Linked DNA regions of Alligator mississippiensis. The main gene of each other region encodes a partner of the protein of the gene in region 2 in a complex. Links are inferred from orthologs where the notes say so. Each region holds a gene or a part of one and is shown on either strand. Other genes may lie near its edges.

Region 1 (7,291 bases), on a different chromosome or scaffold from region 2:
ACACGACACCGTGCTATTTCACACAGTCCTACTGTGCATTAGCATCGCTAAAAAGGCATATGCCAAAACTACTGCACGGTAGCTCCAGTTACTGTGCATTGAGTTAGTACCTATTAATACAGGTACTAAACTTAATGTGCAGTAACTATGACACATTAATGTACATGTAGAGGTGCCTGTGAGAGACCAGCTTATTTGTTATGCCTTGATAATGGGCCTAGGTCTATCAGAAACTATAAGTTGTCTTTAGTTGCTAGAAGGAGGCCACTTAACATGCAAAAACCAATTTCTTCAGACAACAAACAACAAAACAGGAATGACAGTGATGATGACTACATGTTAATAACTAGGGTGTCAAAGGCAGACATGGAGCAGAGAACTACAGCTAGTGCTCACAGGTTTTCAAAGACATCCTAGGAGCCACTGGATGCTGCCCAGTGAAATAATGCTTGGATATGGGCACAAATAAGGGAAATGAAGACAGCTCTGTAGTTGCCAGGGTCTCCTGTGGCCACACCTCCTTCCTCGTCATCAGGTAGATAGATATCCTAGCCAAGGCCAGGGGGAAACTGACCAGAAGGATTGGCTAGATTGACCTCTACTATGGACTAGTATGGCATTTCTTATACTCTTAATACAAACTATAAGAATATTTGTGAGCCTGAAACCATCATAATATAATAATACAAGATTGAAAGATGCTAACTTTTCAATTAATCATAGAAAAGTAGGGCTCAAAGGAACCTCTGGAGGTCATCTAGTCCAACCCCCTGCATGAGGCAGGATCATCCCTATCCAAACTATGGCATACAAATCAGATAATAAGCCTGGGAAACAATTCTGGCCCTGGTTGGCCTGGCATATATTGGTTCCTGCTTTCTTCAGTCTCCCCTCCCCCCACCACCTCCAAGCTGACAATTTAAATCACTGTCCAGCTAGATCACCCCAATGGCTGACAGTCACAGCTGTCACCTCTACTGCTGTGCCTCACAGCCATGGAGCTATCCCCAAACTGTAGGAATGTAAGGTTATATCTGCCCATCATTTATCCCCAATTAACTTCTGTGGCTCAAAGATCTGCAAGACAGTATGTAGACTGGAAAATAAAGCCTGTGTGAAATCCACTCTGACCCTATAGTGCCTAAGCTCCAAGATAACATGACAGGTGGAGAGGGAGCTGAAGACTTATGGAGGCATCTCAGTTTATTCTGGGAGTGTCAGGCAGGTGGCATATTAAGGTTATTCTCAGATCTGTGCAAAAAAAAGGTTTAACTTCTCCTAAATGAAACTTATACTACATCCTCCCAAAACTGAGAGGTATTCATCATCTCAGAAAGGCTGTTCTGTTCTCAAAGTGGAAGTATTATATGTTTGAGGAGAATAAACCTTTTATTGAATCAGCTATTAAGTAAAAAGTGCCAGAAAGCCCTGCTGAAGCTCCTGATCTATAGAGAGCTGGGCAAGCCAGGTGAAACTAACACAATGCCTCTTTCGGGCATGCACTCGGCTTCATGCAAGGATGAGCCAAGCTGAAAGTAAAGTGCTGGGATTTTTGGGGTTTTTTTTCATGTCGTCGGTTAGCAGCCAGTAGGGCATATAGGCTCATTTACTTACCCATGCACAAGGAATATTCTGGAGAAGAAATTACTCCTGGGAGGTAGTAGAGGGTCTCCATGCTACTACTACTCTGCCTCAGAGGTCCGTATTACCAAAGCTATTTCAGGTAGTGAGCAGTCACTGAACAGCACGCCCATATTATAATATGATATTGCCCTGGATTATTTTAATTTGACTTAATATGGGGATACATAGACAATTTTATCACTTCTCATTGTCCTTCCTCAAGCCCTCCTATGATTTCCTGTACTTACTTGTAGCTTCTCTTTTATGTTGTTGGGGAAAAGAATCACATCTTTCCATAAATCTGTAGGCTGTCTACTACCACAAGACTCTGCTCCTAATTGGGATTTCTGAGCTCCACTGCAAGTAATGAATAGTCACGTTCTGCTAAAACCGTGACTCATAACTGGAGTACCACAGTGCCTGGCCCACATGGGACAGCAAAGGCAGTCTCCTTCACAGTCCAGGCATCCTGAGCCTGCCCTGCCGTGTCCCACGGTCAAACGGATCCCTGCATCCTCTCCTACCAGTTCTGTGAGCATGCGAGGAGCAGATGAAGGAGCAGAGCTGAAAACCACAATTCCCAGTGGCCCCCCCCACTGCCACAGGTGGGCACCATTTTTTTTAAGTTTGGTGTATTCCCCCACTCCTCCCATGCTCCTGGAGCAAGTTGCTGGCATTCAAGTTCCCAGAGGAGCAGCTACAGCACCAGTGCTGTGCTCACCCCCTCATGTATTGATCAGGGACAGGCAACAAAAAAAAAAAAAGGAAAAGAAAAAAAAAAAGGCAGGGTCCAGCCCCTGCCATCCTCACTTTGCACAAGCAGTTGCACATCTAGTAGCCACGGCCACCCCTTCCTGTCCCCTGCAGGGGTCTGACACTCTCCCAAAGTCCTCAAATCTGCCTTGGCCGCACCGAGTACAGCCCCGCGCCATGCTCCGGGGCTGCTGAGCCTGCAGGTATCGAAGCCGATACCTGGAAGCCGAGACGACAGGTGCCGAAGAATCACAGAGAAGCGGGGCGGGAAAGCACCTCCAGCCCAACCCTGCCAGAGGCAGGACCACCCCTATGCCAGCAGGGCCAGGACAGGGACTCTCCTCACCCCCCAGGGTGGTAGGCCCGGCTCCGGGCCCGAGGCCGAAGGGGGAGCAGGGCACGGCCCCGAGCCGCCCCGGCGCCGCAGTCCCCGCCTCACGCGCTCGGGGAGACGCGGCCGCTCCTACCGTAAGTCTCAGACATGGCCGTCTGCGACATGGCGGGGCCAGACCCCCTCCGCCTTGGGCTGCTGCTGCTGCTGCTGCCCGCCGGCGAGTCCCAGCAGCGGACACCGGCCCCTAACCGCCTCAGCCGGGCCAACCGCCGCAGCAACGGTCGCGCGTCTGCGCCTGCGCGCTCCCGCCCCCCCTCGGGGCGGGGCTACGCGTCTGCGCCTGCGCGTTGCCGCCTCCCCACCTCCGCCACCAAAACAAAGCGCACGTGCGGCGCTTGGCGAACTGGGCCGTTGGGGGGGGGGAGGGAGCGTCTGCGCAAGCGCGCGTTCCGCCCGTGGAATGTAACGGCGTGCGACGTCAACGCCGCGCGGTTGGCTTCTGATGTGCCCGGGGAGGGGCCTCCTGGAGCCTATAATGGCGTCTCCTTCCGTCGCCTTGCCCCCCGGCGTCGGCCACGAGGGCAGCGCGTGACGCTGAGGCAACGCCCCGCCTCCCCTCAGGTTCAATGCTTGACGTTACCCACGCCTCAAGTTGTCTGAAGGCGAACGGGGCTCAGTGGCTGGCTGCGCGTGAGCAGTGCCGTGGAAGCCAGCTGATGCAGGGCTGCTGGTAGGCCCGTGCGGGCTGGTGCGGGCTAGTTGCTAGCCTGGGGATGTAATATGGGCCCTGGTGCTGTGCAGAGCCCTAGCGCCCACCCCCAGGGCCAACCCATGCCAGGGCCCCAGCACTAGTTCGGACTAGGCTTCATGTGGCCACTGACCCAACCCTAAAGTGCAGTGCGCCCTTAGTGAGGGTGGCCCCCCTCCACCAATCAGTAGTGGGGGTGGCACCTTCTTCCACCAATCTGAAGTGACAGGTGGGGTAGCTACCTCTTTAACCAATCAGCAGCAAGGGGCGGGGCCACCAGAAACTGGCTGCCTCCCCTCTTCCCTCCCTGGGTGGGAACCTTGAGCTCCTGGCTTTGCACCGCCTTACCTCTAGGCACAGCCAATAGAATTGGGAGGATAAGTGATTGGCATGTGTTTCCACCAATGAACTAGAAAAACAGGCTTTTTTTTTTTCTGCAGTGCATTCCTCGCTTAGAAACAAATAGGGAGCAGGGGGTGTCAGAGCTAATGGCCACCTTAGCCAGGCTCCATCCAAGGGGTGCCCCTTGGATGGAGGGAGGGGCTGCAACCCAGGGCCACTGGGGTTTGCTTCCCTTCCTCCCTGGGGAGGCCAGAATAAGCAGGCTCAGGTAGAGCACTGGTAGTGGGACTTAGGGTATCAAAGGGATCACTGAGGTTATAGACAGTCCCTGAATGATCGGCAGTCCAGCAGGGCTTGGTGGAAGGGGGGGGGGGGGGGGAAGTCCCAGATGATTGGAAAAGGGCAAACATAGTGCCCATATTTAAGAAAGGGGAAAAGGAGGGTCCAGGAAACTACAGACCAGCCAGCTTCACCTCAGACCCTGGAAAGATCATAGAGCAGATCCTCAAGGAATCCATTTGGAAGCACTTGGAGGAGAAAAAGGTGATTAGGAAGTCAGTTTGGATTCACCAGGGGCAAATCATGCCTGACCTGCCTGATTGCCTTCTATGGTGAGATGACTGGCTCTGTGGATGTGGGGAGACCAGTGGATGTGGTGTACCTTGACTTTAGCAAGGCTTTTGATATGGTCTCCCACAGCATTCTTGCAGGCAAGCAAAGGAAGTCCGAGTTGGATGAATGGACTATCAGGTGGATAGAAAACTGGCTGGATCATTGGGCTCAGAGGGTAGTAATCAATGGCTAAATGTGTAGTTGGTAGCCGGTATCAAGTGGAGTGCCGCAGGGGTTGTCCTGGGCCCAATTTTGTTCATAGAGTGCATCCTCAGCAAATCTGAAGATGACGCCAAACTGGAGGGAGTAGTAGATATGCTGGAGGGTAGGGCTAGGATTCAGAGACCTTGACACATTGGAGGATTGGACCAAAAGAAATCTCACAAGGTTCAACAAGGACAAGTGCAAAGTCCTGCACTTAGGACAGAAAAATCCCATGCACCAATACAAGCTGGGGGCTGACTGCTGGACAGCAGCTCTGCAGAGTAGGACCTGGGAGTTACAGTGGACAATAAGCTGAATATGAACCAACAGTTTGCCCTTGTTGCCAAGAAGGCTAACGGCATACTGGGCTGCATCGGTAGGAGCGTTGCCAGCAGATCAAGTGAAATGATTATTTCTCTCTGTTCATCACTGGTGAGGCCACATCTGGAGTATTGTGGTCAGCTTTGGGCCCCCTACTACAGAAAGGATGTGAACAAATTGGAGAGAGTCCAGTGAAGGGCAAGGAAAAATGATCAAGGGGCTGGAACATATGACTTATGAGGACAGGCTGAGGGAACTGGACTTATTTAATCTAGAGAAGAGAAGACTGAGAGGGGATTTAATGGAAGCCTTCAACTACCTGTAGGGCGGTTTGAAAGAGGATGGAGATAGATTGTTCTCAGTGATGGCAGATGACAGAACAAGGAGCAATAGCGTCAAGTTGCAGCATGGGAAATTTAGGTTATATATTAGCAATAATTTTCTCACTAGGAGGGTAGTAAAACTCTGGAACAGGTTACCCAGAGAGGTTGTGGAATCTCCATCCTTGGAGGTTTTTAAGACCTGGATGAACAAAGCTTTGGCTGGGATGATCTGGTTGGGGATGGTCCTGTTCTGAGCATGGGGTTGGACTAGATGACCTTTTAGGTCCCTTACAAGTCTTATTTTTTATGATTCTATGGAGCTTATCTGATTTAGTTAGTCTAGGGATGTCCAATTTCTGACAGACTAGAGGCTGTAGGTTCCCCCCTGCCACAGTGTCATGCAAGCACCCCTTCTCCCTGCACCCATGCTGCAGGGGACCCTACCAGCTGCAAGAGCCCACCTGCCACCAACTGCACTGCAGGGGCTCCCAGCATGGTACAATGCCATGCCCCCCCACCTCACCCTCCCTCCTGGGCAGCATTTCCTGCCCATTCTGCCCCCTTCGAGCAGTGGCACCAGCCCTACTGCTGCCAGCCCAGCCATAGACTTCCCCGCTTCCCTCAAAGCCCCCACCCCTATCCCCCACTGGAAGGGTAGGCACTTCCCCTCGCACCCGCTGCTCCAGTCCTCCAACTCTCCCCCACCCCACCACCCAAGACTTACCTGCATTCAGCTGCTGAGGCTGATGCAGACACACACAGATTGGAGTGGTGCCCTTGCCTCCAGTCGCCTTCCCTCTGCTTCCACTGGTGGAGCAAAGTAAAATCTCAGGCATTGGTTCAGATTTCAAAAAACTGCCTTGACAGAGATTGGAGAACTCAAAAATAGGACGTGTCTGGAAAAACCTGGACATACGGTAACACTAGTCTGGAGGAGGGAGGGAGAGCCTGGGGACTCAGGCAGCAGCAGGAAGAGAACAAAGGGGGGGAGCAGTGCTCAGGCCAGGGTCCAGAGGTCATTGTTTATCCCCTTAGGGGGTGCATGTGGCTCACAGGCTGCTAGTTGGACAGCCCTGAGTTAACCTATAAGGTTACCCTGCCTCCTGTCTCGTACGTGTTTCTCCTGTGAGACTCTGACACCTTCCTCTGGGACACTTGATTCTGCCTCCTGCCAGAAATAGGGTGCCAGAGGGCCTGGGCTATTATCCAGGATATCCAGCCTGTGTTCTTAAGTGATAACATTTTTTAAAAAGTGTTTATTGTCGGGACCCAGGGCAGCCGGCCAGTAGCTCTCCCTGACTCCCACCCGGGCAGATAAGGGTCCGCCTAATTAATTCCACTCCAAGCATCACAAATACCCACCTAACGGCCTTCTAAGGCCCTGGGCCCTTATCTGCCCGGGTGGGAGTCAGGGAGAGCTGCTGGCCGGCTGCCCTGGGTCCCGACATGGCGTCACGAACAGGATCAAGGGGAAATGTGATGGAGTGGGAATTAATTAAGAACTGCCCCTGGTGTAGTGGGGGGCGCTGCGTAGATAACGCGGATGAATTATGGGCCCACATCGCTTATCACCAAGTGAGCGGAGCGGAGACAGGGTGCGTCAGCGGCTACTTCTCGCTGAGAGGAGAGGAGGGAGTCAGAAAGGAGTGGGGAAGCTCCGAGTGGGACAAAGGGAAGATGATTAACATAGTGTCACTCCTACTGCGTGAAAATGCAAACTTAAAAACCCAGTTAGCTACAGTCAGCAAAGCTGCTGCAGAGATGGCAGCGTGCCCAAACCCTCCGTCGCCACAAAGAAATGGCACCGAGAAAAATATGAGCTGCCCGGAAGACCCGGAAAAGAAGGGCGGAGCCACAGAAGAACAGGCGGGACTCCACCCAGCAAGCCCGCCCCCTGAGATGACGTCGCTCCCAACGGCCCCACCCCCATACCACAGGGAGGGGACAACGAGCAAGAATCCGATCCTCCCATCAGACACAAATAAAACCCGTCTTCACTTCCGTGAAGAACGGGAAACCTCCGCACACACA
Region 2 (8,057 bases):
ATAGATCGGGCACTTTAGTAGGGCTTTTTGGTGCTTTTACCTAATAGCTGATTGAATCAGCTTTAGAAAGAAGCACCAAAAAGCCCTGCTGAAGTGCCCAATCTATACACATGCTGCAGAGCTAAGTCGAAATAACTGCCTCTTGTGGTAAACCAAGTTTTTGGGAGCTTTTTTCCACATCTGTCAGCACCCATAATGTCTCTGTGGAAACCACACCAAGTACTGACAAAGTAAAACAATATTAAGAATATATTCTTCAGCAGTTTATTGTGTAAAAGTAAGTGATATCTCCTTAGCACCAGCCTATTCTCCACAACCAACAGGAAACGTTTCACAGACAACAGGCTTTAAAAATCAGCTTTGCACACTGACAGTATCAGGGAGACCCTTGCCTCCTGGAGGGCAAGGGTCTCCCTGATACTGTCAGTGTGCAAAGTATCAGGAGTTTGCACACAAAAACTCAAGGAGTTTTGTTTTCTGAAGTGTTAACATATACAAGAACCTAGAAATAACAAACATCTGGAGCTTAATGCTGCCAGGTTCCTGGCTACCACAGCTCCTTGAAGCCAATGAAAGTGGAGGGTGCTAGTTTTCTTGCTGGAAGCACTCAGAACCTCACAGAAGCTTGTTTGTTATTATAGGGGAGAGGAAGCAAGGTTGAAAGTTGTCCTTATGTGACACTGACAGACCCATGAGGGATCCCCACACTCCTTACTTGTCACTGTCCCACATTCAAAATTCCCAGCAAGGATATTCCCTCCAATTCAGACAATATCTTAATCATCCGGAAGTTCTCAGAATTGTTAAGTGAACCAGAGAAATAAGGATGTAAATGGCAGCAGGAGCTACGTATTTCCAATATGTTGCTCCTCTCAAGTTTATTTTTGGTTTGTTTGTTTTTTCAGTCTAAAGCCAAGAGAGTCACATGGCATTAACGCGGCTCAGGTAAGAGTCTTCTGTCTTACCAACCTGCAATTAGACACAGTGATGTCAGCAAGAAATTGCTTAAAATACTTCTGACGTGCAACGTGAATGCTACATTTATTATAAAAGCCATCTTGTTGGTTTTTATGCTAGGATGAGTTTTACTGGACGTGGTTTGAATAAGACTGCCAGGAAAGCCAGGAAATAAAAACATCTTTCAAAAATGTAGATTTCAAGCTGCTATTTTTTTTTTAATACAGTTACAGCATGAAATTCTAAATTAAAGGCCGTGGTAGAATCCAACACTGAGGTGTTTGATATCAAAGTGTTGAGGGGGCTCGCAAAATCTAATCATTTTCTCTCTTAAAACAGGGAAAATGATATTGGTTCTTTGGTATGAATATTCGATTGCAGACTCTGCAATTAAGGTATTATAGCGTTGTTTTAGCCCACAAGAAACAGAGAGAAAAACTGACCTGTATGTGTTACTTAATCAAGAAGACAGATCTACTGAAAAAGCTAAGTAGCAGCCAAAAGTGGCGAAAAGTAAATTAGATTTATAAAAATGTAACTGTAATAAGCTTATTAAAAAGCAGAACAAGTGAGGACTTTTTAAAGAGTAAAAAAAATTAAATACATATCAGTGTCAAAGTGCCCTTTTGACAGGTCCTCATAATTATATTAAAAAAGCAGTAAATATTCAAGATCAAGGAAAAACAGCTAAGCCTCTTTCTAGGAAAACGCACAAAACAAAATAACTGTTTCTGCATATTTTATCTAAATTTAACAGCATATATGCAAGGAAGCTATGAACTGAATCTTTTGCCGTCTCCAAATAGAAAACCTTTTACCATCTCCAACTAAAAAAAGTGTTCTAAACTTTGCAGAAGTGTGGTATAAACCCAGACAAATTACGCAGCAACAAAGGGGCTGGTAACTGATCAGTACAAGCTTCCCCACCTTCTAGTCAATTGACAAATTCATAGACTAGTCTTCAATCCACACCCCGGGAATTTACATAGATAACTCCTATTATATACACAGGTAACTCCTATTAGCGCAAACACCAATTCTCTCTTTACTGAGATTAATCACAAAAAACAAAAGGCCAGTATATTTCCATTTTGAAAATATAATACAGTATATTCAAAATGGAAATACTGGCCTTTGTGACTGAAGTCAGTAAAGAGAGAATTGTTCGCACTAATAGGAGTTATCAATGTATATAATAGGAGTTATCTATGCAAATTCCCTGGGTGTCAATTGAAGACTAGCCTATGAATTTGTCAGTTGACTAGAAGGTGGGGAAGCTTGTCCTTGAAGAGAGAATTGGTGTTTGCACTAATGGGAGTTATTTATGTATATAATAGGAGCTACTTATATATGTAGTTCAGTATCTGAGAAGTCTAGTGATTTATTTAGGTGCCTAACTTCAGCCAACATGTTAGTAAACAACAACAAAAAGCTTTTCCTTAAAAATCAGCAACTCTACAGCAATTTTTTGGCCTCCCCACTCACACAAAAAATGAGCTCTCCCTCCCCCTCCTAACTCATTTTAATCAGTATTTTAGCCATTTGAAACTTCAGGCTCTTTTTCAGCGTCTGTAACACAACCGTTTGTCATTGCACGGAGTTTTACCCAAGAGCCGGACGTAGCGAAGCACTCGTCAACCGCCTCTTACTTTTGAGCTGCCCCTTGACGTCCCGGTCTTCACTCGAGTGCTCCTCTTCGTAGTGCGACTGAAGCTGATAGAAGGACTGAAGATCCTTCAGGCACAGTGGGCACAGGAAGCCCTCTCGCACCTCCCCGGGGTCATCGAACGGCGGCGGGTAGCTCGATGCCATGACGGCTCGACGGGTCTCAGCGGCACCCGACCAGGCCCGTGCTCTTCAGCGGCATCGCACCCGGGCGGGGTGCAGCATCGTCCGTGGTGCCTGGGAAGAGACCCGCGGAGCAGTTATTGTGCCCCCCACAAATGGCTGAACCAGTCACCCTCTCCCATCTGAATAGCCCGGCTGCAGCTTACAGCCAGGACCTCCCGGAGACCAGAGGCAGCCCCACAGCCGACGCGGACCTCCCGGACAGCGGCACCTTCTTCGTGCCCCCTCGAAGGTGCCAAACACGTGACTCGTCTCAGGGGGGCCAAACCTTTGCCCCCCGTGCTGGGCCCAGCCTAAACCCCAGGGGGAGGGGTCCTGCATGGGGGAGGGGCAGCGGAGCCGCCCCCACGTGCCCCCGGCCTCGCTTCTCGGCCCAGCCCCACCCCGGGATGAGGCACGGCCTGTCCGGGCCCCGACCAGCACCTCCCCCGCCCGCTGCGGGCGCCTCATGGCGCCGCCTGTGAGGAAACCCTCCCCTCCCCCCGGCCTGCGGGGGCCACTCACCTCCGGGCCCAGCGAGCGCTGCGGGGAGCGGCGCGCCGAGCCAGCGATAGCACAGCCGAGAGGGCGGGGCCGAGCGCAGGGCGCGCCGCCGAGCGCCGAGCGATGGATGGGCGCGCGGGGCATGCTGGGAAAGGGGCGCGAGGCCACGCCCCGGTGCGGGCGGCCCGGCCTGAGAGGCGCCGCCTGGGCCCTTCCCGCCCACGGGGCCCAGCGCCGCAGGGAGATTGGCCACAGAAGCCCACCCCCACCTCAGCCAGCTGGGCCCAGTGTCAGGCCAGGGGGCAGATCCATACGTCTCCAGTGGCTTCTTTCCTCCTCGAGGAACCGCTGCGTTGCGGAGGGCTGGCTCGCTTCACGCCTGGCGTTTGCGCGAGGCGGTTGAGCGCGCCCACCTGCGGCAAAGGTGGACGCGGCGGCACGAGGCGGCCGGTAGATGCAATTGCGTGCCGGGTGCTTCCAGCGAAGAAGACCCGGAGAATTGGGCCTACCACGTGTAGCGGAGTTGGCTTGCCTGCCACCGCCTCGCATATAACATGAGTGTATATGTGCACGTGCTCCTGTGAGACGGATTTCCAGATCGTAGCCTGTTTGGAGTGGGTTTCAAGCCGTGGGACCGTGTGTTTTAGGCCCAACCCTTCCATTGGCTGCCAGCGATAATTCTGCAGTTCGCAGCCACGCACCTGAGCATGCTGGGAACAGACCGGAGGTTTCTAATACGCCCGACAGGTTTCGTTCTCAGAGCCCCCCCACAAAGTTGTATGTTTGGCCCTGCTCTCTCTAGCGTAGATCCCACTTTGTTCCTCAAGGTAGGAGCATCATGTCTCCCTAGTGATACAGTTATTGCTTTATTTCACCTGGAAGAGGCCTGTGTTGTACTACTGCATATTACCTAGACCAGCGGTTCCCAAACTGACAGATTGCATGCGGCCAATTTAAAACGATACAACATGAAGTACCACCAGCAAATTTTTGTCATATAAAGTAATTATAATCAATCTGTTAACGTACCACTGAGAGGTTGTCTGCATACCACTTAGGGTGGCCATCATAGAGGACATTCTGGTTTTCTGCTACTCTGTCCTCTTTGGTACAAAGCCCGACACCTTTATGTTCTCTATTTTTCTTTTCAAGAAAAATAGAAAAATAAAAAAATATTTTTCTCTTCAAGAAAAATAGAGGACATAAAGGCATCGGGTTTCGTCTCAATAGAGGACAGAGGACAACCAGACTGTCCTCTGTGATGACCACCCTAGTACCTCTGATGGTACGTGTACCACAGATTGGGAACCGCTGATCTAGACCAATGATTCCCAGCTTTTTTAGGCTCAAGGCACCCCTCATTAGACTCAAAGCTTCTTTAATTGTTATGAGTTGAGCAGCACCCTATTTCAAAAACTAACTTATTTATTCCTTGCAGAGGAGCTGAGTAGGGACAAAGGAGTGTGGCCAAGCAGGGGTAAGCCTGGGCTTGTGCTTATCTACTAATCTCACACCTCCTACACCCATCAAAGAATTGAAAGAATCTCACCCTGGTTAAGAATAAATGACCTAGACATATGACCCCTTCTTACATTATTAGTACTTAATAAGAAATAGGATGTTTCTGGGCACTGCTATGAACAGTCTTTTTATCTGAGGGTCAGTCATTTAAAACCACTTCAGCTCCCAACAGGAGTTAAGGGTTATTATTTTCCAAGGTACAAAGGGTTAAGTGCCTACCTCCCCTTTGACTTAAAATTCTTCCCAGGTAAGTGGTATTTGGTGGCCTCACGTGAGATTAATTTGATGGGTCTTATTTTCACCTAGCTCACTACCGCAGTTTCCACTAATTAGCAAACTTGGTAAAGGCCAAGAACTGGGTGCTCCGCATGACCTGTAATACTTCTGATATATCAGAGGAATTCTGTATTGTACCAGTCTGCTTATTTTTGTTCTACTTGACCCATGCAGAGCTCAGTGTTCACATCTTACCGTTCCAGCTCTTTCATTTTTTTTAAAGCCAAGAAGAACAATTAGTCCATGTTAGAAACTAACCTGGTATCAAATTTTGGTATCTGTTCTGCAGTCTGATCCAGGTGGGCAACCCACACTACATTATCGTTTTCATCACCTTTTGCATCACACTGAATTTGGCCCATTTTGCTGTTACATAACTGCAATCTTACAGAAGCATAAGGGGGAAATAAAGGCTCAGAACTGACCTGATTTAGTCACAGGAATAATTGAATGTTATAAATAACCAAAGGAGCTGAATTTTTAAATAACCAATTTGAGTTGGATCCATTACTCTCTACTTCTCAAAACAATGCAGTCTTGGTTCAATTACTTGCAGAGAGAACCAGGCAGCTATGAAAAAGAATGTAGAATCCCACTTATAATCACTTCCCTCTTTAACATGGAAAATGCAGGCTCAAGACCAATTTGCTGTTAAAAGCAGAGATGACTTTTATGATGCTGTAAAGGAAAAAATTCCCCTCTTATGATACTGCAGCTCTGATGCTATTAACAAATTGTATTGTATATAATAAACCATTAGTGTATTTAAAAGGTGTATTTGATTTCTTCTTTACATTAACAGAGCATATTGATCAAAAAGTTTTACGAACACGAATAGTGGGGTTTTTTTTAAATAATGCTATTGATTTAATTTCAAAACATAAGAATGTCCTCAGCCCATAAAGACAGAGAAGAAAGAGAATGTTAATTGCTGCACTGTACCAAGGCAGTACAATTGGCTTAAGTATAAGGTAATGCTTATCTATACTGCTGCTGGTATCCATGGTCATCTATATAAGTGCTTTTAGGATATCTTTTCCTGGGGTTTATGTAAGGAAAATGGTGATATGTAAAAGGGATTCAGTCTGAGGAATGTGTTAATAAACTTGTGGCTCACATTATTATTAGATGAGATAACCTGGTTATTTCTTTTTCAGTGTGACAAATGAGTAGATTTTTTTTTGAATGACATGTTGTATAAAGCCATCAAGATGCGCATATGCTTTAGAACCCCAACCCTGGCCACTGATCCTATGCTTGCAGTACCCTGTACCTATGAGTTATCTCACTGAAACCAACTGGGTTCTTCTTGCATAGATTTATGGCTAATATCTGGATGTGAATGAATACACAGCTGACTTTCCCCTTCTTCCATTTCCTGACACTTGTCTGACCTCATTTACTACATCACTTCTCTAGTAAGCACCATTCCCTGTGAATAATTAGGGGTGTGAGTCATGATTGCAGGTTTGGGCTCTCAGGCTTTAGTCCTGTGGTTTGTTCTCTCTGGGAGTGCTCAGCTAGTGTTGAAGTTGCAGGGTAAGGCTTTGTCTCTATAAGGGAAAAGCCTAGAATAACTAATATGGAAGAGTAGCAACATCACATTAGCTCCTTGTGTGAGTGCTCTTATTCTACACTAAGAATACCATGCAAAGAAACTCCAGTTTGGAGGTAACCTGTTTGGAGTAGTTATTACTTGGACACTGCCTTGCTAGTTCTCACTAACTTCTGTGGCATTCCCTGGCTTGACAAGCCCTCATGTTGCAAGTCCTTTAGTGTGGCATCAGGTCTTGTCTCTAATGCATGTGATACAATCTCAAAACAGTGCTGGAAAATGTTCACAGAAGTGGCATGATGGCTGTCCCACAGACAACTGTCAACAAGCCAGTGGGGTTGAGGGTATGCATTTGACTTCACCAGAGACAGATCTGAGAGAGAAATCATAGTTTAATTACTATAAATGGTCTAGCAAGGTAGGGTGGGTTTGATTAACAAGAGAGTAGACTTGATATGCAACATTTATCCTGGATTGTACGACACATTTAAACAGACAGTGTGAGTCCCTGAGCCAGGGAGTAATGTTCTTTGTAAATGCAGATAACAGTTTTCAGGCAAGTACTCTCTGCTACAACTAGAATTGTTTGTTCCCACTGTGATGACTGCATGACATAGACCTCACGTAAAGGGGGATTCTCTGCTTTCCTTAATGGAACTCTCATTAGTCCCTACAGTAAGTACATCAAGTACATCATGTGGAATAGGAACACTCATGCTGCAAAAAGTGTTGTTCTTGCTTCTTGCAACACATCCTGGATTTCCCACACCCAGGTTCTTTGTAAACAGGGACCTCTTTACTGCATGCAAATGTCAAAGGGCTGTGATACAGGGGACTGTGCTCACAGTGAAGCATATGCACATGGGGACAAGCCCTGTGTCCAGCAGGGCTTTCCTGCACAGCCTGGGACTGGCCAGGACCTGTCCCGGTCTGGGGCAGGTCCCAGCCATCTCCGGGCTACATAGAGACTGCTCTGCGCAGCCTGGAGCTGGCTGGGATCTGCCCTTCCTCCGCAGGTGCTTCCCAGCCCTGTGCTTCAATTGGGAGAATAGGGCAGGAGGCTGCTGGTGAAGCAGTGTTAAGCTGCTCCTGTTAAGAGTCCCCCCCCCCACAGCTGTTTCCCAGCTCTGTGCCCAAATCGCTAGAATAGTCTACTGTGCAATAAACATCTTGTGTAGACACACCCACAGAGAAGTAAATAACAGGAAGTCATGGGCCAGACTCTCAGTAGATGTAAATTAGCATGGGTCCAATAGGCTGTACATTGATTTACACTAGCTCCCAATTTAGGCCTCAGTTTCCATTTTAGCTCCTCTCAGACTGTCTGTGTCTGGAATGATGCCCAGGCTGAAGTTTAAAATCATTTTGACAGATACCAGTGGTATCGTCTAGACCTTTCTCTCCTATCCTAGGATGT

The links. Proteins that work in one complex are often made in the same cells at the same time.
Region 1: the proteins of RBSN (region 2) and RAB4A are in contact, whole or in part, in a crystal structure (PDB 1Z0K), measured with the Homo sapiens proteins. The link is inferred for Alligator mississippiensis from reciprocal best matches to the Homo sapiens genes RBSN and RAB4A. Residues at the interface, in NP_001289307.1 of Homo sapiens: Glu441, Gly442, Trp443, Leu444, Pro445, Ser447, Glu454, Pro458, Leu459, Gln461, Gln462, Asn465, Ile466, Phe469, Asp480, Glu481, Thr484, Leu485, Asn488, Leu492, Glu495, Gln499; in NP_004569.2 of Homo sapiens: Tyr10, Leu30, His31, Ile34, Glu35, Ile46, Gly47, Val48, Glu49, Phe50, Gly51, Ser52, Lys53, Lys63, Gln65, Trp67, Arg74, Phe75, Ser77, Val78, Ser81, Tyr82.

The regions. Positions count from the first base shown.
Region 1 is NC_081824.1:149,268,057-149,275,347, forward strand, and holds the start of RAB4A (ras-related protein Rab-4A), read right to left. Parts: upstream 3,046-7,291; 5' UTR 2,875-3,045; coding exon 2,844-2,874; intron 1-2,843. UniProt on the Homo sapiens protein: The small GTPases Rab are key regulators of intracellular membrane trafficking, from the formation of transport vesicles to their fusion with membranes.
Region 2 is NC_081835.1:15,632,218-15,640,274, reverse strand, and holds the start of RBSN (rabenosyn-5), read right to left. Parts: upstream 3,413-8,057; 5' UTR 3,310-3,412; intron 2,860-3,309; 5' UTR 2,770-2,859; coding exon 2,607-2,769; intron 1-2,606. UniProt on the Homo sapiens protein: Rab4/Rab5 effector protein acting in early endocytic membrane fusion and membrane trafficking of recycling endosomes. Required for endosome fusion either homotypically or with clathrin coated vesicles.